2 linked regions of the Oryzias latipes genome follow. The protein of the gene in region 1 binds, or shares a complex with, the protein of each later gene. Links are inferred from orthologs where the notes say so. Each region holds a gene or a part of one and is shown on either strand. Other genes may lie near its edges.

Evidence for each region.
Region 2: tcte1 (region 1) and efcab2 share a complex: the UniProt entries of both Homo sapiens proteins name them as parts of the nexin-dynein regulatory complex. The link is inferred for Oryzias latipes from reciprocal best matches to the Homo sapiens genes DRC5 and DRC8.

What each region holds. Positions count from the first base shown.
Region 1 is NC_019882.2:5,917,557-5,928,386, forward strand, and holds tcte1 (T-complex-associated testis-expressed protein 1), read right to left. Parts: upstream 6,629-10,830; 5' UTR 6,541-6,628; intron 6,391-6,540; exon of another isoform or gene 6,320-6,390; 5' UTR 6,275-6,319; coding exon 6,175-6,274; intron 6,098-6,174; coding exon 5,535-6,097; intron 5,334-5,534; coding exon 4,884-5,333; intron 3,975-4,883; coding exon 3,786-3,974; 3' UTR 3,762-3,785; exon of another isoform or gene 3,663-3,761; intron 3,139-3,662; exon of another isoform or gene 2,994-3,138; 3' UTR 2,889-2,993; downstream 1-2,888. Other genes in the region: E3 ubiquitin-protein ligase RNF8, read right to left, coding at 9,512-9,699. UniProt on the Homo sapiens protein: Component of the nexin-dynein regulatory complex (N-DRC) a key regulator of ciliary/flagellar motility which maintains the alignment and integrity of the distal axoneme and regulates microtubule sliding in motile axonemes.
Region 2 is NC_019861.2:24,638,381-24,648,944, reverse strand, and holds efcab2 (EF-hand calcium-binding domain-containing protein 2), read right to left. Parts: upstream 6,114-10,564; 5' UTR 5,802-6,113; coding exon 5,777-5,801; intron 5,660-5,776; coding exon 5,590-5,659; intron 5,503-5,589; coding exon 5,430-5,502; intron 4,352-5,429; coding exon 4,275-4,351; intron 3,680-4,274; coding exon 3,637-3,679; intron 2,693-3,636; coding exon 2,626-2,692; intron 2,532-2,625; coding exon 2,413-2,531; 3' UTR 2,323-2,412; downstream 1-2,322. Other genes in the region: ADP-dependent glucokinase, read left to right, coding at 1-218; cgref1 (cell growth regulator with EF hand domain protein 1), read right to left, coding at 8,282-8,566, 8,666-8,764, 9,818-9,942. UniProt on the Homo sapiens protein: Component of the nexin-dynein regulatory complex (N-DRC), a key regulator of ciliary/flagellar motility which maintains the alignment and integrity of the distal axoneme and regulates microtubule sliding in motile axonemes.

The DNA.
Region 1 (10,830 bases):
CCATGAAATTAACTTCTTTATGAGCTACTACAATTGAATCAAACCAACCTATCCAACCAAGTTATGAGGTAAATATAATAACAAGAACTTTAAAAACATTACACTGCTATGAAGAACTGTTCTGCCTGAGTGTCAAACCCCTTAAAGGCTCCAATCGTCTTTTGATCCATTTTAGCGTTCCCAGTGGTGTTTTAACGATAATTATGCAGTTTTTAGCCAAAAACTTAAATGCCTGTGTCCTTTTCCTAGGACACAGTTTCTGCAGAGCAGCAGTAGTTCATTAGAAATCCACCTTTGAGGTGTGGGTGGGACTGTTGGTGAGAGCTTACAGCCTCTCACAACCAACCAAACAGACTTCAGATTTCAGCTCGGACGAGGAAAACCAAGATGTACATGGACCTAGTCCTCTACAAGTAGGGAGCCTCAGGCCTGCCCAGCGTATTTTCTATGTCACAAATATGCTCTTTTAAAGCATTTTTTTCATCTGCTCCTGATTCACGTTGATTTGAATAAGGGGAAACTCAGAAATGCTGTGTTAAGATTAATTTTCTTTATATATCTTGTCCATCATTACAAAAAGTAAAAACAACATGATAAAAACCTGATTTTCATAGGAGAGGGTCTTTAATCATCTTTTTACTGTAGGACAGACCAAGAAAACGGGACGAGTCACTCAGTGAGCCTTCAGTTTTTACAGTTCGGTGTCAGCTTGACTCAGCAGCAATCTGAGAAGCAGCCAACTCCCCGAAGAACAACAAAAAACAGCTGCAAATAATTAAATTAGTTACTGTTAAACGTGTGGACATGACAAGTCACGAAACTCATTAAAAAAAGCAAAATAAACACGATTCAAAATTGAATTTATCGAATAAAGTCTTGTTGAAACTGGCTTAAGTAAAAAAAAGTGCTGTAAATGTCATGTGTTGATAAAATATTCAGTCTGTCTGTTTGCACAGAGATTTTACTGCCTTCCTTGTTAAATATAGCACAGGGGAGTGTGAATAATTTAGCACGAGAGGGCTAAAGGACACCAGAACTTAAACACAATTATAAACTCACCTCTACAAGCTGAAAAAAACATCATGTCATTTAGCTGATTAGATCTTTTTCAAATTGTCTTCAATATTTTGATTTAGTCTACCTCTTTCTTTAAGTGCCTTCTCTTCTTAACAAGCAGAACTAGTAAAAAAAAAAAAGGATTCTGTTTGATGTCTTTGGGGTTGCATCTGCTTTTGAAAATAAAGATATACATTTTGGTTCAGATGATTCTCCTGTGAGCTCGAAGCTGGTCGGATCTGATTTTCCTCAGAATGTATCTCAGATCTTGTGCAGTCGGTTCTGTGCAGCTGCTGCACATCAAAGCCACTCAGAAATGGGTGGAGGCCTGGACTCACTGCTTATAGTGTCACATTTGATAACATGACTGGAACTAAATAAGGGACTTCCTGTCATTTGAGCAAATGCAGTCTCGTCCTGTAATTGAAGATTCAAATTGTAGTTGAAACTAATAAAATTAGGTTAACGTAAGTTTGTTTTTTGAGGGGTAAAGTAAATCTTATTTGATCATGTTTTAGTTTATCTAATTTTTCAATCACTCATCTGTTGTGATCAGATTTTCAGTATTTAGATATCCTAATTTGTGATGCATTTTGCTGTTTTTGGTATTAAAAGTAGTGCTCAATCATTTTGTCTGTGAATTCAAAATACTGTATATGAACTTTTGAGAACACAATAAGCCATACTTCCACATTCCAGGTTAGTGTCAGGTTTGAACTAAGCTACGCTTGTACCGCTGTATTATGTCTCATCAAATGGCCGATTATATGATTATAAAATGGATTTCTTAAAATAATTAAATTATCAGTCAGCTCCTATGCAAGCCCCAAACTCAGGACACAATCTGACTGCAACATTTCATTTCTTACACTAGAATGGAGGGTTTCTAAGTACAAGATTGAATGAAACAGATCTTTTTTGAAACAAGAGTTTGTTTCCTGCCAAAATAAGATGCATGGAAAAATCACAAAATCTCTTAAAAAGTAAGTTAAAGCCAATTACTCATAATTGTAAGGGATAAAATATTCTCTGGTCTCATTTGTTTCCTAATAAAAGTGTTTCTTTTCTGTGTTTTTGCGGTGAATAGCAACTGTTTTGTAATTACACTGGCCTAAAACGTTTTAGAATTTATTAGGTTTTAGTATTTCATTTATTTATAAAGGGAAAATGTTGTGTTTCCTGATATTTGTCAGCTAGAAATCATTTCATGAAGTTTATGGTGCTGGATGTACAAAACATGTAAATTATAATTAATTATAGGAAGATCAAAACCAGAAAGTCAATCAAATTGTTTTCAGTGTAGAAACAGCAGTAATATTTAATTGAAGGTTAAAGAAAAATTACGTTTTTTATTTTTTGAGATGGCAGGTGGTGGATTATGGGGGGGGGGCGTGGACTGCTCAGAAACCGAAGACTCTAGAGGGTCCGGACGGGACGGAGGACACTAAAAACAAAACCTTTAAAACTTTTTCTTTTAGTCACTTTCTGTTGAGTCTTTTTCAGAAGCGGATGTGCAAATGGGAGGTTTTCTCTGTAGTTGACTGTCAGAGTAAATGATTTTGTCATGACTTCCTATTTAGTCAAATAGATTAGTTCATCATAGATATTTGTGCTCATTTCTTTCGATCTATTGGCTCGTGTTTGTGAGGCCACAAAAGTTTAGTGCTGTAAATAATTGAAGGTTTTGGGTGAATTTTGATGAATGTCTTTTCTTCTGTCACACACAAACAAGCAGGCAACATGTTGAAGATCTCAAATGAAAAGCTTAAAGATGTCTTGTTGGCCTTCTTCAGAACACATTTCAAGGTTTTTAATGGTTTATTTTACTGTCAAAATGTTTTTTTTTGAAGTAGAAATAGATATAGACAGTTTTTTTTTTTACCTGTTATGATCTGCAACAGCTTTTTCTGAGAAACATTAAGGGTTGAGAGCAAAATCTGCAAAGACATGACAAAAATGACTGATACTAAATGTGATCAAATGTCTGTATGCGTTCCAGTTCCATCACAATGCTGCCTTTATGAGGACTCATTACCAAATATCTTCAGATTAAAAGCACTCAATAAACAGAAATGCTCACTAAAATGTCTGATTCCATGTAAAAAAAAGAGAAAAATGTTCTTATTTGAAGCCAAAGGTTTGCAAATCGATGTATTTGTTCATTTTTCTCAACAGTAACATCTCTTTTTTTTTAGCATTTATAAAGATTAAAGTTTGATGATGCTTACAAAACACTGGGATGTGACAGTAGGGAGGTCATGAGTCTCAGACAGAGTATTAAAATGTTTTCTTTGTTTCCAATACCAGCCATAAATCATCAACAGCTTGATCCTCTCTCAAGAGGAAAGCTCCCAAAGGAAAGTTAAGAACTCCAACAGGCTTATTTTATCCACAGATATGCATCAGAATATTTATTAAAATATGGAAATGATAAAATTTCATAGAGTGTCAGATGATTGTTTATTATTCTAGAGTTGAATCAGCACTAGAATTAGCTTATATCTTATATGCTTATATTTTTTCATTATTAGAAAACTGCTGACTTAGAATTTAAAAAATATGTTCATAAGATGAATTTGTGGTTATCTTTTAACAGCAAAACACTGTTAGATTGTGAAGCAGTTTTTTTTGTTTATTAGGAATAAATCAAAAGAGGGCCTTGAAGAGGAATGGGTGGGAATAAAGAAAACAAAGTCATGTCTAACCTTAGATCTTGGTGTTCAAAAACTTCAGTTAAGAGCAAAGGTTTTTTTGGGGGCGTCCCCCTTTCGTTGTGTTTTTAACTGTGACATCTGGTTGGCCCAAAGCAGCTTGTTGATGAGGAAAGATCTCTGATCATCAACTTGGGTCAGGTGGACGTCACATTCTTTTATAGTGGAGTTCTGTGACAACGCAGCCACCAAAGCCTCACCTCCAACCTGCAGACATGGGGTTAGAATACAAAAATATAAAACATAAGAAGACTAAAATTCACCTTTTGGTCATTTTTTCAGCTTAGTAAGTTTTAAAACTCGTCAACAGAACTTGTTTTTCTTTAAGCTGGAGTGGACCGAGGTCAGAAGTATTGATGGTTTCATTTCTGCTGTGTGAATGATTTTTGATCCACCAGATCACTTCAGTCACAGATACCACGAACTGTGGCAGCAGAGCTGCAGGGGATAGTTGTAAATCTATTTTTATGGGGGGAAAAAAACCCACTTCCTACTCTTTCCATTACTGCCTGTGTTCTGCAGACATCGATAAATAATTGAGAATCCTTGCAGCAACCCTGACTGTGTCAACAAAGGGAGCAGCAGAGTTTTGGGATGAACAAATTGAATCGTTTAGTTCAAAAGGGGTCCAAGTCCACAATTTTTCATAATAGAGATATTATATGTTCTACGGGCTTCAAAGAAAAAGTTATCTGAATTTTGTGCAAAAAAGTCCCAAGTCTGTTGTAATGTATGCTTGACATTTAAAATGCATTAAGTGCAAAATTCCTGGACTTGGGCCTCTCCTGCATGGGTTTTGTTTTATCCCATAGATGGCAGCACTAGTTATCCAATATGGCAGCGCCCCTGTTTAATTCAAGAAGAGCCAAAGTCCAGAGACTTTAGTTTGCTAGTCTTCTGAAATTATAAAAGTGAGGTGCTTCATATTATAGCATTTGAAGCTATGAACTGGTGCTTAATCTGGGTAAAATGTTAATCATTTGGTGTAGCCCCCCTTTAAGATATGCAATTCAAATCATTTCCTGGAAAAACAAACCTCTTGGACTTGGGCCCCTTTTGAACTAACCGATTCATTTATGTTCCAGTTAAAAGAAACAAACGTGGACATGTCCTTACCTCACAGAGCTGGTTGCAGGACAGATTAAGGCTTTGCAGAGTTGTATTCTCTGTGAGCACTTTAGACACAGCCTCAGCAGTGACTGAAGTCAGATAATTTCCTCCCAGGTTCAGATTGTGTAGAGTTGTGTTGTTCAGCAAAGCTTCGGCAATGGCCTGACCCCCTTCATCCTTTATCATATTCAGAAGCAGATTAAGGGACTCAAGAGTGCAGTTCTTAGATAAGGCCAGAGCTATGGCTTTGGCCCCCTGGCAGCTAATAAGGTTGTTGCACAAGTTAAGAGTCTGCAGTTTATTCCTGGTGAGCAGCTTGCTGATGGCCCTGGCTCCAACGTCTCCAATCTTGTTGTGACAAAAGTCGAGTTCTTCCAGGGAAGGGTGGTCCATGAGGTGTTTCACCAGCAGCTGACACTTTCTGTCATCCATGTGGCTTTGGTGGAGCCTGAAAAGCTTAATATTGAGGATAAATGACGACGGAATACAGAGGGAAACTTTTAGAGCCATCAAAATAAAAGCTTTAAAGTTAAGGATAAAAAGGATAATGACCAGATTTAAAGGATTAACACATTAAATCATTCAACTACGCAACAAGTTCATTCCAACAAACCTTTAAGATAGTAAAATTTGTAAAACACAAAGAATAACTGATACCTTCAGTGTCTTACAGGACTGAAGAGCCTTGGCGAGGGTCTCACAGTCTCTGTATGTCATCTCAAACATATTCCATGCAAAGTTCATGCCACATTGTTTGATTCTATAAACCAGGTGGAGCTCTTCCAGGTTTGTCAGCCTCTGAAGCAGGATGTTAAAGTCAAAGTGGTCCATGGGAGGCACATACCTCTTCCAATGAAAGTCATGATCATTCTCCTTGCTCTTCTTCTGAGGCTCCACGACAGGAACCAGGAGCTGTGAGATGTCCAGACGCTTGACGTATTTTTCACAAACTGATACGACATCAAGAACGGTCTGCGGGTCGGTTACATTTGGGATGAAAAGTTCAATGATCTTCTCCAAGTGCTTCTCCAAAAACATTCGTTTCCAGCTGTGGCCGTGAACAGAGACATCACAGAAGGCCAACTTCTGCTGGCAACAGCGCCTCCAGTAGGGCCCCTCAGGGAGCACGCTGGCTGTGACTTGGACAGGAAGGGAAAGGGACAGTCTCTCCTGCAGGAACTCCTTCTGGGCAGCTGTGAGCATCTCAAATATTGGGTTTCCTGTAACAAAGAGGAACTGTGCAGTCAAGTGGCTCCACTTTTTGCAAAAACCGAAGCTGCAGGAAAATTATACATACTTTCAAAGTTGTTCACAATGATTTGCAGGCAGAGAATGGATAAACTGGGCACTGTGGTGATAGACCAGTCTGGATCTTCAGCAATGATCCTCCTCCTCATGTTTATCTTTTATTTTTGTAGCTTTCAAACTGTCTCATACAAATCCTGTTAACAAACAATAAACATTTAAGAAGTAAACATCTTGGAAACTGGAGAAAGTAGCTAGCTAACGCTAAATAAATGGTCTATTGAATACTTCAGTTCAAAGAAGTAATTTGCGTAAATATGTCAAAAAGTATATTGACAAAAACCGCAAAGAATTATCTGAAGTGCATTTCAGTAAGATTAAAAAGATATTTAATCAAAAAGAAGACAAATAAACTCACGTTTACGAACGTAAACAAAGCCCCCCGTGTCCTGTTATGGAAACTTCCAGTCGTTGCCATGGAAATCGAATCATTCGTGTGTAGTTTGAGGCTTCAAGGAAATCTTAGCTTCAGCGTCACTAACTACAAACATAAAAATAATTCCCGTCGCTACTTTAAAATTATCAAGCAATTTACACAAAACATACCTTAAACGAGTCTATTAGCTGAAGATAATGAGAGTAGACTGAGATCATTCGAACTAGACTCACAACATTCGTTGTTATGGGATTTAAAAGTCGAATATGAACACCACAAACTAAAAGAAAAAGAACAACTCCGCCATACTTGAGGGTTCTCAAACCTCTGACGCGAGAACAGTAACTTCAAGTACTGCTGCTACAAGTGCTTTTAGCGTTATTGTTTTTCCTTTAAAATACACCAATTATTTTCTAATTCATTAATGGATTTAATTGATAAATATAGATTCACTTAAATATGTCAATTATACTTTGCACGGAATTGGCTCTTGGTTGATTAAAAATGTTTAAATATAATTCTGAAAGTTTTGAATTATTTTATATAATGTATTTTTGCTCAGAAAGAATAATTGCATAATCATTGTGCATCATTTTGTGTTCTTCAAACTGATGGCATGTTGTTTGGACTAAAACAGGTATGAAATATATAATAATAATAAAATATAAAAATGATCAAATATCAAATGTTGCCATTTAAATAAAAAAACAGCTACAACATTTATTCAGTTTTGAATGTTACACAAAATGATTTTAACTTTGTTTTAATCGTAAGAAGCACTTTAAATAATATAAATTGCATATGTATAGGAAAAAATATGTATTAACACATTATGTTCATATGAATCAAGTCGTGCACAAATTGATTAAATTTCAAATAATTACTGAATTCAGTTTTTATTTATAGATGTAATAAAACTAAAATAAATAAATTATGTACATAAATGAATCCTTAGTCATTTGAAAAGCAAAAACTGGTAATATTGACAATAGGGAGGGCTTGCATTAGGCCAAAATGAGATGATCTCAGAGAAAAGCACAGACTAATAAACTACCAGATGGGCCTTGGAAATGGATCATGTGCCTTTTGGATGAGAAATCACTTGAGTGAATCCATCTGTCATGTAAACAACAACATGAAGCAGGTGCTTAGCTCCATTTCAGGCGGGGAAAAATGCATACATGCTGAGTTTGTTCATAGAAAATACAGCTTTTTTTCTCATAAGAATTATTTATACACATAAACAAAGTTGGCAAAAAATGTTTTTGTTGTAGTCAAACAGTTCGAGAAAAGAGAATAACATTTGTAATTGCGAGAAATTATCCGGATAAAAATCAGGGGAAATTAAGGGTTAAGAAAAGAATGAAAATATCCACAAACATTAAAAGTTATCGTAAATAAACATTTTCTTAAAAATATAAAATTTCTTAAAACCTAATGGAAGATTTTTGGCTTTAGCACCCAAAGTTTCTTTTACAATAAAACTAGGGATGCCTTTTTAAATACAGACTGCTTTTCAAAGCGGAGAGAAATGAGGTGAATGCAGGATGCATCATGTGTATTTCTCATATTCAGGCACAGCAGTTGAGCCTGTTATTGGCATCATGAGCGCATGCAGAACTGATGCTGGGTCAGACGGAGTAATGAAGGGCTCCAACTGTAGCCTTGAGGCAGTCCATCACTGTCCTCCATGGGATATCAGGGGGGGCAGGAACGGCCTCCCCAGCACTGCAGCTTTAATGGCAGGGCATGACATCAAGAGGCAAACTCACACGGTGACGGCCGTCTTTGTGCGCTCAAATCAGTGAGTGGACTCACGTTTGTGTATCATTTTGTAACTTTAAAATTTGATTTATTTTTTCTGCTAGAATACATAAAAAATTAACCATTTTCGTATCAAGAACTGTTCTGAAAAATCTACTTTAGCGTAAATAGTGGGGTTTAAAATATGAGTCCCCCCCCCCACCATTCTGGCAATAAAATCTACTTTTCTAAATTCAGAAATGCACCACTTTAATATATATATATATATGTTTTTTTTCTTTATTTACTTTTTAAGCCTAGAAACGGAACCAGCTTGATTATAATAAAATAAATATAAATTAAAGATCTTGTTAAAGGACTAAAATATAAAAACTGTGTTTTTAAGCTATGTTTAAAGTTAAAATGAAAGCATTAAGTGGAATTAAAAACATGCCCATATGGAGGGATTATAATGCCATTATTGTGAGCGCAACAGCCACTGTTTTGATCATAAAATTTAAAAGTTTTGTGTGCTCAAAACAATAGTTTGCAATTGAAACAGAAAAATACACTTGAAACTTTAAACTATGTTCCAAATGTGCCACAAAAGCCAGCCAATCACAGACATGGGCGTGAAAGGGTGATGTCTGTGATTGGCTGGCTTTTGTGGCACGTATGTCAGACGGTGCTCTGGATTGAGAATTGTCCCCCCCCCATATTTTTGAGTTTCTAGTTCGTTTTTCTGTTTCAAGTGCGAAATATTTTTTTTTTAGCACAATTTTTTTTAAGTTTTACGCTAAAAAATGTGAAAGTTACAGTTGGAATAATGGCACAAAAACCACTCCATACGCCCATGCTGTGTCTGTTAGTTGGGAACATTTCTAGTAGAAAAATCACAAAGTCTGTGTGTTTGAATACTTTAAGCTACTAATCGAAGCGAAGATTTTAAATATCAACCCAGAACACGTAGAAAAAAGCAACATGAAAGAGTTGAAAACTTGTAAAGATAATGGTAAAAGTAATCAGGAAGAAACTTTAATCTTTTCACTGAAAAACAAGTACACTACACAAATAATAACTTTACAAAAAGAAAACATAAGGAAGTTTTCCTCATGATGAGACCAAAGTGTTCTTAGTGTAAACTAAAGATCCCGAGGGCTTTTCTTGTTGGAGGGCTTTGCGAGTCCGTTTTTTGCCTTCCGATTGAGAGTTAATCTTCAAGGTCATCTGAGATCTCAAACTCTAAATGGTCGCTGCTTTCTGTGTCCACAGTGAACACAGAGCTGAGGCTGCTAAAAATGGACAGCATGCTTCCATCGCTCTCGACGGTGCTGCTGCTGCTGCCGTCGCTGCTGCTGTCGTCATCGTGGATCACCATCACCTCTGCGGCGTTGGCGGCTGGAAAACAGAAACGCAGAGTGAGCCGCCCTTTCTTCCTGGAGAAACTCCACTGACATACGCAGCACTAATACGCCCGGCTAACAGAACAGAAGATGAAACATATTGTATTGTCATCTTGTGTAACGGAGGGTCTCTCGGCAGATCCCCTCTGGTGACACCATGACATGTTATTAGAAAGCCTCCCAGCAGCTTCCCAGCATTCCCTGAGGTTTGGACCCTTCAGCACTTTCTGCTGCTTTTGAGCAAAGGGTCACTGAATGGACTCTAGTCACAAAAGTTGATATTTTTAGACATTAAACCCTAAAACCAGGAGATAGTCCACTCGTGACAGAATGAAGGGAATGATTTCCAAGTTGTTTCAGGAACTTGTGCTCTTTAACACATCTGAATAGATCAATACATTTGAGTTTCTACCTGGGATGCACTCCGGTGAAAATCATGTTTGTAGTGTTTTTAACATGTTATTGAGGCATTTTTCTCATGAGGGAGGACATACACTAAGAAAATCAATTTTGAGCTGGCATTGGTTCTAAACTGTACGGCTGGGTAGCTCCGATATTGCTGCAAGGTACCAGGAGAGTGTGTTAACAGATGAAAGTGCGGGCGGGGTTACTCTGCGCTGATGGTCCCTCCCACATCTCTAATTTCTAATGAAAACAACAGATTTATTTTTTTATTTGGCTAAAAATGACCGTCATGATTAAAGACCAATAGGAATTCTTTGAAACTAGATGAAAAGATGATCAAAGCCTAAGTCACATGACCCGTACGGGTGCTGCAGGTCTTTGGGTTGTCTGGGCCCGTGGGGGGTCGTAGAGAGGCGTGGCTGCCTCTTAAGGGGGGGGTACAGGTGTGGGTTGTAGTTCCCTTAAAACTCATAGGGTCCCCTCAAGAGACGTCATGAAAATGGAACGTACCAATGTCGTGCTTGTGGTAAGTGTTTTGTGGGAATAATGTAGTGTAAGATGAACACTTGTATTTTTAGGATTTGACCAAATCTCTTCTCACGATGAGCTATTTTCCTTCATGGCGTCATAAGGAAAGGCTCCATTCACACAACGCTGTTACTGTGACCCCGCCCACCTATATCAGTACTGTCACTTTTCCACTTGGTGATGGCACAGTTGT
Region 2 (10,564 bases), on another chromosome or scaffold:
ACCCCAGCAAGGCGAGGCTCATCATGGACGACTCGTTCTCCGTCAGCCAACGAGAAGGAAGCCAGCGCATCCCTTTGCAGGAGAACAGGCCCGTAAGCTGTTGGGATGAGGACGACTATGAGATTTGTGTGGCCCCAGTGCTGGTGTGTACCGAGGTTTACCAGACTGCAGGTGGAGGAGACAACGTCTCTGCTGCTGGCCTGGTCTTACAGATTTAAAAAAGGAAATAGGGTTTTTTCTGTTTAATCAATGTTGGCAAACCATGTGACCCTGGTAACTTGATCAAAGTGTGGCTCACTTCCGACTTTGGGTACTGATGAATCTGTTACTTCTGCAGCTGATGGTCCAACCTGTCAATAATAGAAACTTCTTACAGGTGAGAAAAGTCCATTGATGGTTAGCAGTAATTGGTGATGGAGTGAAGCCACCATCTTTTCAGTCTCAAATGTATGTAGGATGGAGGACAGTCAATGGAAAATACACATTTGCTGCTCAGCTAAAAACCTAAATTAAAAAATCAATGATATGAAAATGTAAAACGATTAAATTGATCCAGCATGTTTGCCGGGTCACTGCTTTCCACCTTTAGACTTTTTGATTTTCATAGCTTATCTTTTTATATTTCTCTGACACCTTAAAAATGTAAACTTTGGTCAGGATGATATAAAGGAGGGCTGAGGTTTGGGGTAACATTGGGCACAAGTTATAGGTTGTTTTATTGGGCCAACATGTGCCCTGTGTGGTTCTTTTTGTGTGTGTGTGTGGTTTTCTTTTTTAGTAATTTTTGCACAACTTCTCCTTTGAGATCAATTATCCTCCCACTCTTTAAACGTGGGCTGCAGCTATGCAACAAGGCCTCAGAAATGACTGAATCCAGTGTTTCTTGGCGTCATGCATATCAGGTTTTGAACAACCCTTTGACCTCATTTATCTATGAGCTTGTTCTTTTTTGAATCCCACTAAGCTTCAACTGATCAGAACGCTTTGACCTAAAGATCATCCTCTTTCCTGATCTTGAGCCCTTTCTCTGAAAGAAAGGAGGAACATGGTGGAAATTTCCTGTTTTTCCTGCTATATGTGAAGCGTGTGCATAATATTGTGGGCGTGTTAGTGTTGGGTGTAAATCTCTGCGTTGAAGTTGTGTGCAATAATGCAGAGAGACCACTGCAGGGAGCTGATTCTGATGTCATTGTTTATTCAATTTTCCGTCAGCTGCTCTCTCACTCTGACTTCTTTCCCTTTTGTCAGTTTTTCACCTGAAATGAACATTTAGTTGGATTTGCTGGAAAACGGGCTGCTTTTCTGTCATTTTTACTTGAAGTCATCATTTGACTCTTGAATCTTTGTGAAACATGGAGATCCGCCTGGATCTCCATATTTCCATGTTCCACCAGGCCACACTTGAGTCGTCTTATTTACAATTGAATCTCCTTTGCAACAGAACTGTTGTGCTTATCTGACTTTTTTTTTTTTTACAACTGTGATTCTTTTTTGATTGATTTTGTTTCAAATCTGTATTTAAATGCTGACTTTAGCACATTTCAACTGTGCCTCCCCCTCTTTATACAAATAAACATTCCATCATCAATCCAGTTGGGCCTGTTTCCAGAACTACAATAGTCAAGTTGACCATTTTTTCCTTAAATAATTGTGCCCTCATAAAGACTGCATCTGCAAGCTATTTGAGCCTTATTCTGTTTGTTTCTGTTTGAAACCCAAACGATAAAACCTGTCCCAGTAGACGTATGTTTTATCTCTTGAGCTCTCTGGTCTTAAACGGTTATTAGATTTGTGTTTATTTTGACATTAAATTGTACTGTACACTAAAATCATGAACATAGAGGGATTTGCTGGAATTTGTTACTAGACTTCTCAGACTTTCCTGTACATCAAATAACCCCTGTTTTCTGACGGTCTTGTAAATGTTGGAATCATGTTAATCATGAAAATCACCTCAGATAAAGTGCTATGCTCAGCAAAAGTCACTGCTTTTTTTTTGTTTTTTGTTCCATTCTGCTAGAACTCTGTTATTGAAGAAAATGTCATCATTTTAACACCAATCTTTGCATTTTGATTACAAAGTTTAGTTTTTTTTTCTTTCAACCTAAGCTTCACGTTCTGTTGCACACAAGCCACAGAGTTTCCATCTTCGTTGCAAATTTAATCCCTATCATTATTTCTACATCTCTTTAAACGTTTGCTTCTCTATTTTTGGAACTTGTTAATTCATCATGGCCCTCTTTTTAACCTTTCAAATCAATTTAAACTTCCAAGATCTGTTAAAAATAAACATTTTGAATAATTTCTGAAGTTTGACAGCAATACAGAAAAAACAAAAATTAATATTTATTTGTATTTTGGCCCAAACACACTGTTTTTCAGCAGATATGCTGAGAAATGAGGAATGACTGCCTACGTGTCGGGGTCAATGGTCAGCTGATTGATTAACTCCTTGTAGCAGATAAGGTTCTTTTTTTCATCAACCAGTGCTGTCAGCATTTCATTGGTCTCTTCCTGACTGAAGGCCTCACCTGTTGAACACAAGCATTGAATGAAAATATTAAACATTGATCCATTAATTTGTTGTTTTCCAGCTCACAAACTACTTCAAAGCTTCTGCTTTACCTTCACTTTTCATGTATTTTGCGAGCTCTTGTGGTTCCATGTATCCCCTCCTGTCTTTGTCTAAAACCTGGAATCATAATGCATTTCTGGTTTAATGAACATTGAAGCAAGGTAATAAGGTAACATTATGCTCAATGTTAAATTATCTCCTTGAGGTTTATAATACAGTATATCAATTTTAACAAAAGTTTGTATTCTCGATTAAATAGAAAAATCAAGAAACACGTCAGTCACAGGAACCACGGAATCACTTTGCCTTGCATCCCTGAAAATGCGCGAGAACTGAAAAAAACATGTTCTAAAGAAGAAAAGGTTTACAGCGTGTCCTCTTGGGGAAGAAGACAAATGTCATTTGAAGATTAAAGTTTCACATTTCTTCAGTTTAAAACATTTATGTAATAGGTAGGTTAATGAAAATTAGCTTTAATGGAAACTTGAAGAGTTAACCAAGTGAATCGTGACTTACATTATTTCAGGAAATACACAGTAACAATTATGGATGATTAGACATGAAAACGATGCTGGAACTCTTTTAAAATGCAGGTCAAATAAAATGTGATCGTTGCTGCCTCAGGAATCCTTTGAGGTTTTATAGTCTGTGGTGACGTGAGGTAGGATACAATCTACCAACAGAGATCTCAAGTAAAAACTCAACCATACTTTCCATCCATCTTCTAATCCTGCTATTCCCAGTTGGGATCACGGGAGCCTACCCAGCTTTGACACAGGATAATTGAATCTTCAATTATCCTGTGAAGCATGTTTTTGGACTTTGGGAGGAAGCTGGAGTGCCCAGGGAAACAAAGCAATCACCAGGGGAACATGCAAACTTTACCAGGGCCTTAAGGAAGTTTTACCATTAATTTTCTTTCCTTTACTGTGGCTGCAGGTAAAGCTGAAGAAAGTTATGTGCAGTCATCAGACAAAGACGTGAGACTGTCATTCCCCTTAGTGGACGGAGATCGTGAACTATGGGTCTTGGCGATACAGTGAAACTGGGTGTCCTCTCACCTCAAACGCCTGACGCAAATGCTCTTCAGGAATGGGAGGAAACCTAACAAACAGAATTAAAAATAAAGATTATTTTTCCCGTTTACAAATAGAGCTTTGCACAATTTTCCAAAGTAAACAGGAGGTCCCAGTTAGTCTCAGAATGTAATGGCATGGCAACTATAGTGTAATGAAGATCTTTTTGAGGCAGAGTCATTGACCATGCAATGCTGAATGCTGAGGAGTGATAATGAGGGGATCAGTTGCTCTCAGATAAAGGTGTCAAACTCCAAGTTGCTCATGCAATACAACACCACATACAATGAAAAGTGGGTTCAAATGTTGAATTTATTCAACCCAACAGCACAAGAAGATGTTTCCAAATCTCGTATTGAAGGAGATCACATATTTTTTTGTTTACAGTGTTTTTAGTAAAGTCTGAACCGCCTTGCCATTGGGTCTCTCTAGTACATTATCTGCAGCATGCTAGGTGATAAATGACAGTTTTATTTATCATCATAAAAAAATTGTGTCAGCTGTACAGAAAGGCTAACATGAGTGTGTTTTTCCACTGTTTTTTCTTTTCTGAAGCAGACAAAAAAAGTTGAATGAATTTAAAATGTGACTGGAAAATAATGTAGAAAGCAGAACTTTCTTACTTGTTCTCCATTATTACTTTGGTCATGACTGGTAGGAACTTGTCCAAGTGAACATATCCCATATTGTCCTCCTCCACCTGTGTGAACAGAATTTTGTGACAAAAGTTCTGAAAGATGTTACAAAACAAGAGAGTTAATCAGAGTTAATCAAATGTAATTATAACAAATTTATATGTATTTTTTAAATGTTCTGAATGTGGTGTTTTACATCTGTGAAGATTTTTCAATCATAAATGTTATGGCAGGATGACACAGTTCTTCAGGGTAACTGGACTTTTAAGGTTTATCCGGAAGACATTTCTGCCAGTAGATTCTTCAGTTCTAACTATTGTTAAAGAATTGAATGCTATTTATATGCTGACTATTTTGAAGGTGTGGCAAAATGTGGCTTTAAAATATATTACAACAATCTATATGAGGCAAAATTAAACTGCAGGGGGGGCCCTGGGCACATAAGTGTGTGAGGCCCTTTCAACAGTCATTTAAATGTTTTATCTTTCGTTTTTACATCTTTTTTATATAAAATAAATTACACTACTGAAGTCATTGTACCAACCGTGGCAATACAGCAAATAAGCCTGAAATCAAGGCCTGACTGACTAAAAGAGTGAGAAGTTGCGCAAATAGACGGTCCGTGCTTTTCATCAATGCTTATTTTTATTTATTTTTGTGATTCTCTTGGACTGCTGCTGCGCAATGATCAACATGCGCAAAGCGCGTAAAACAAGGATTCGGCACGCACTAAAGTTTTTAGGTTAAAACAATGCAACAGAGAATAAAGAATTGATACAAAAGCGGCTGAATCAAAAAAAAATTAGCTCTTAAGTTGATTCTGCGGGTCAACATATATTTTCTGTAAAATCAGCGATACGACGTTACAGTCAGACCACGCGACACCTAATCATCCTATATTTGCTGCTCCAATGATGGCCAAACGCTCCTGAATGAGGAGGTACAAGAAGGGGGTGAAGGCTCCAGCTGTCCAGATATGGACAGAAACAGATGGAGAGAAAAAAAAGCGCACGGAGAGATGCGCAAAAAAAAAAAAAAGAAAAGAAATTTCAAAGTAAAAGTTTGTTGTACTTGTAGGAAGGTCTAGAAGAAGCAAATGGCACACTATTTTGCCCGCCTGCGAGGAGGGCGGAACTTACTGACCTCATCCACGAAGCGATGGATGTCTGCTTTGGTGGGGAAACATCCCAGCGAATAGATGATGGTGCTGACCTCACTGCAAAACAACATTTTCGGAGTGGGCGCTGAGTTACTCTTGACTTGTTTGAGTTAATGAAATAAGTTTGGGATCTTTAAAGCTCACCGGACGTCCACGGTGTTGTCAGCTTTGTGGTCAAACACGTGAAAGGCTGCGCGGATTTTCCTCTGGATTTCTGATAACCAAAGCACAAATAGACTGTATTCATCTAATTTATATATTGAAAAAAATAAATGAATTGTAATAACAAAAACTAAACAAATTTTAAACCAGTAAAGAAACTCTGACTGACCTGCTGTTTCACCGGCTTCCGCCATGTCTGCCTGGTGTTGTCGTGTTGCTTAGCAACCGAGTGACACCCTACTTAATATTCTTTTACCAACAAAAAAAATGTACTGTTTCCTTAATAACCTAATTAATTCTGAGACACTTAATGACCTATAATGATATCTGTTTGCATATTGGATAAATAATTTTTCCAACTCATCAAGTCTAAAACTTTATCTGAAAAAGCTTACAGTGGGGCAAAAAAGTATTTAGTCAGTCACCAATGGTGCCAAAGTTTTACTACTTAAAAAGATGAGAAAGGCCTGTACTTGTCATTATACCTCAACTATGAGAGACATAATAAGAAAACAATTCCAGGAAATCACAGCGTCTGACTTTTAAAGAACTTTTTTCTCAAATTATGGTGGAAAATAAGAATTTGGTCACCTACAAACAGGCAAGATTTCTGGCTCTCATAGACCTGGAACTTCTTCTGTAAGAGGATCCTCTGTCTGCCACTCGTCACCTTAATTACTGGCACCTGTTTGATGGTTGTCTGAAAATGTATGCTTGTCTATAGAAAATACACCAGTACACAACCTTAAGCTGTCTAAGGACACCAGAAACAAAAATGTTGACCTGCACCAGGCTGGGAAGACTGAATCCGCTAAAGGTAAGCAGCTTGCTGTGAAGAAATCAACTGTGGGAGCAATTATTAGGAAATGGAAGACATACAAGACCACTGATAATCTACCTCCCTCTGGGGCTCCCTGGAAGATGTTCTCCCCCCGTGGGGTCGGAATGATCACAATGAGCAAAAATACACAACCACACAACCACACAATTAGACCTAGTGAATGACGTGCAGAGAGCTGGGACTAAAGTAACAAAGACTACATCTGTAACACACTACGCCGCCAGGGACTCAAATCCTGCAGTCCCAGACATATCCCCTTGCTAAAGACAGTACATGTTTGCTAGAGAGAATTAAGATGATAAGATTATTCAGAAGAGGACTGGGAGAATGTCCTATGGTCAGATGAAATAAATAAAACTTTTTGGTAAGATCGATACTCGTCGTGTTTGGAGGAGAAAGAATACTGAGTTGCATCCAAAGAACACCGTACCTGCTGTAAAGCATGGGGGTGGAAACCTCATGATTTGGGGCTGTTTCTCAGCAAAGGTACTGCTGATCCGTGTAAAGGAAAATTTTAATGAGGCCATGCATTGTCAGATTTTGAGTGAAAACCTCCTTCCATAAACAAAGGCAATGAAGATGAAACATGGCTGGGTCTTTCAGGATGACAACGACTCCAAACATACTGCCTGGGTAACAAAAGAATGACTTTTTAAGAAGCATTTCAAGGTCCTGGAGTGGCCTTGCCAGTCTCCAGATCTCAACCTCATAGAAATTCTTTGGAGGGAGTTGAAAGTCTGTTTTGCCCAGCGACAGCCCCAAAACATCCCGGCTCTAGAGGAGATCTGCATGGAGGAACATTCCAAAATACCAGCAACGGTTTGTGAAAACCTTGTGAAGACCTACAGAAAACATTTGCCTGCTGTCACTGCCAACAAAGGTATATGTATAACAAAGTATTGAGTTGAACTTGGGTTGTTGACCAAATACTTACTATACACCATAATTTACAAATAAGTTCTTTGAAAATCAGACTGGGATTTTTCAGAATTTTTTATTTTATTTTGTCTCTCATAGTTTAGGTATATCTATGAAGAAAATTACAGGCCTCTCTTATCTTTTTAAGTGGGAGAACTTGCACTATTGGTGGCTGAATAAATACTTTTTTGCCCCACTGGATATTTAGTAAAATTGTATTATTACAGTCGGGATAGGCTCAGGCAGCCCTGTTACCCCAAAAGGGAACAAATGGATTAGAAGATGAATGAATGAATGAATGAATGAATGAATGAATGAATGAATGAATGAATATATTATTGGGGCAATCTGATTTCATTTTTTTATTTATTCTTTGAAGTCTATTATCATTTTATCAAGGGAAACATGAATTTTTGTGCCACACATTGAATCAGGAAAAGCACATCAGTATAAATATCACCTGAGTAGATTCCTTACAGATGCTTGAAGGCATGCAGAGACTACAGTGCATTCTGGCTGCATTTATGCTGGATATTACCGAGACAAGTTATCATCAAAATGTAGTAATGATTAGGAAACTACTGTTGTGTACTGCACAGTGAAAACACCGTGTATGAAAAGTATGACCAGAGATTTACTAGTGAGACAAATGATGAATAAATAAAGCATCAAATCTTACCAGAAAATGTGCAATAATGATAATGATAGATTTCAATGCTCCTGTGGGGTGTTTTAACTTTTAGAAATTAAAAGTTATAGGAACAACATCATGCATGGAAAGCAAAAGATGACTTTTCATTGTCTGGCACACGTTTGACAGCTTAGAGTGGACAGTGAGTCCTCAGAACCAATAAAGCCCTTTTTTTGGGATAAGGGAGGAGGAAATCTTCCCAAGAAGAACATTTTCATAGAGTTTCATATTTCTGGTTGTCCCTGGTGTACAGGGACTCCTTCCTGTTCTTCTACAGGGGCGTCCTCAATTTGTTGTTGATTATATTTATCTATTTGTTGTATGTCTTTGTCCGCCTGTGTTTCCTGATTTTGTATTTCCTCCTCTTGAGGGTGAAAGTCTTCCCGAGGATCCTCTTGCTGTTTGTTGTCCACTGCTCCTGCATTTTGCTCCTCTGTGATGATGGCTGATTGCCTGTTCTCCACAACCACCTCCTGCTTCGTTTGAGGTATCTGGTTGATCTGTGAGCCCTTTGAGGTAGCAAGTGTCATATAAAGTCATTGCCAAAACAAACAAAATGGTGTATCATTTTAAAAACCAAAACAAAATGTGTGTTGATCTGGAAGTACCTGTGTGTGAGTGAGTGGAGACAGCAACTCAGAGGGGTCCAGCAGCCCATCATGGTTCAAATCCTGAGTCTGGAGTAAGAAATCCACCGTAGACACTATCTAAACCACCCAAAGGGATGCAAATATGTGGTCAGAAAGGAAACTACACCCAAATACAATGACAGCTCTAAAACACCAACTAATCCAGGGGTCCACAACCTGAGGTTCCGTACCCACATAAGGCTCCTTTATCCCTCCATTGTGGCTCTTTGGCTTTGAAGAAAAATGCTAACGATTTGAATAAAAATATTTTTTTGTAGTTGTGATTGATTTGTTTTAGTTAATATAGTTTATTTCATTTATTTTTAGATTTTTAAAATAATGATGGGAAAAGGTTTCGTGAGAGGCGTTTGTTATTAGAATCATTTTAAAGCTCACATAGGCTTTTTAAAATTGGATGTTGTGATGTTTATATTTAATAGTAAAAGGAGAGAAAGGATGAAAGTTCACCAAAGTCATAATGATAGAAAAGTTCATGTTTGATTGACTTTCTTACATTTTTTATTCAAATAAATCTGCTGCCGCAGAAGGATCTTATTTAATAAAGGATGTATTTTATTTTGAATGGAACTTGTTTGTGCTGGTGTCAAAAGTAAGAAATGATATACAAAAAATTATAAAACTTTTACAATTCAATTTTTATCACTATCTAAAATTTAATGGTCACAAAAACATAAATCAAGTGTATTTTTTTACATGTGTCAAATTTCTTTTTCAGTTTGATCCTTCATTAATGGAGTTATGTGGGTTTTAATAAGCTTACAAAACTCAAAAGGATTTATGCTAGAATAACAAGCAAACATATGTTTTCTATGCAACTGTAATTGTCACTTTAAAAAGTTATAATAAATAAATGATGAGTTATTTAACATTAAGGAGTATTTACATTTATTTTTCATTACATTTAGTTACATGTATAAGTTATATCTGGCCCTTTGAGGACAGCCACTATGCTGATGTGGCCCTCAGTGAAAATGAGTTTGACACCCCTGTTCTAAACAGTGCAGAGGGACTTTGTGGCTCTCATTGGCGTTCAAGAAACTGGACCAAATGGTTCTATTATAGGGTTAAAGGTTGCAGACCCCTGATTTACACAAAGTCACTCCAGCTCACCAGCTCGCTGGCATCCGCTTGACCTGAATGATGTTTGCTGTAGTCAGAGAGCAGCTTCATCATCTCCAAACCATCCAAGAACCCACTGCGATCAAAGTCATACAGACGGAACAGGAAGAAAACCTCTGAAGCAAAAAAAGAACACTATGAGAGACGCTGGATGCCAAACTCATCTGACACTTTAAAAAAAAAAAAAACACAATCTCTGAGCTTTGGTGATGAAAGCATGGAGCAGTTTTGTCGTCTGAAAACCCACGAACCTGAACAATTTTTACTTTGCTGGAATTGAGATGCAATATGGAGGCCATAGTACATATGACCATATAAGGAACCCAACTGTTGTCTCCTACAAGAAGTCATGAGGTTTGCTTGTTATAAGAGATCAACGTATTCATCTGAAGGCTGTGAGGTTTAAATGATGAACAGTTATAAACTAGAGTCAAGAAACAAAAATCTTCTATTTATGACACATTTTTCATCCTTCCAGAAGCTAAAACGACTTATGTGAAAAGTTACCTTCTGTATTGTGATCTAAGCTCATCTTCTGCAGGTTTTTAACATGTTTATTGGTTGTTAAAATTATTATTTCTTAATATAATTATCTCTTAAGGGTTGTGATTGAAACTCCAGCATTTTCTCTTAAACATGCGATCAGCTCTTTAGATGCAAGTCAAGCTGCCACAACTCAAAAGGATCTGTTTTAGTTAGCACTGACAAAACAACAAAAATAAATCAAGGTTGAAAAAT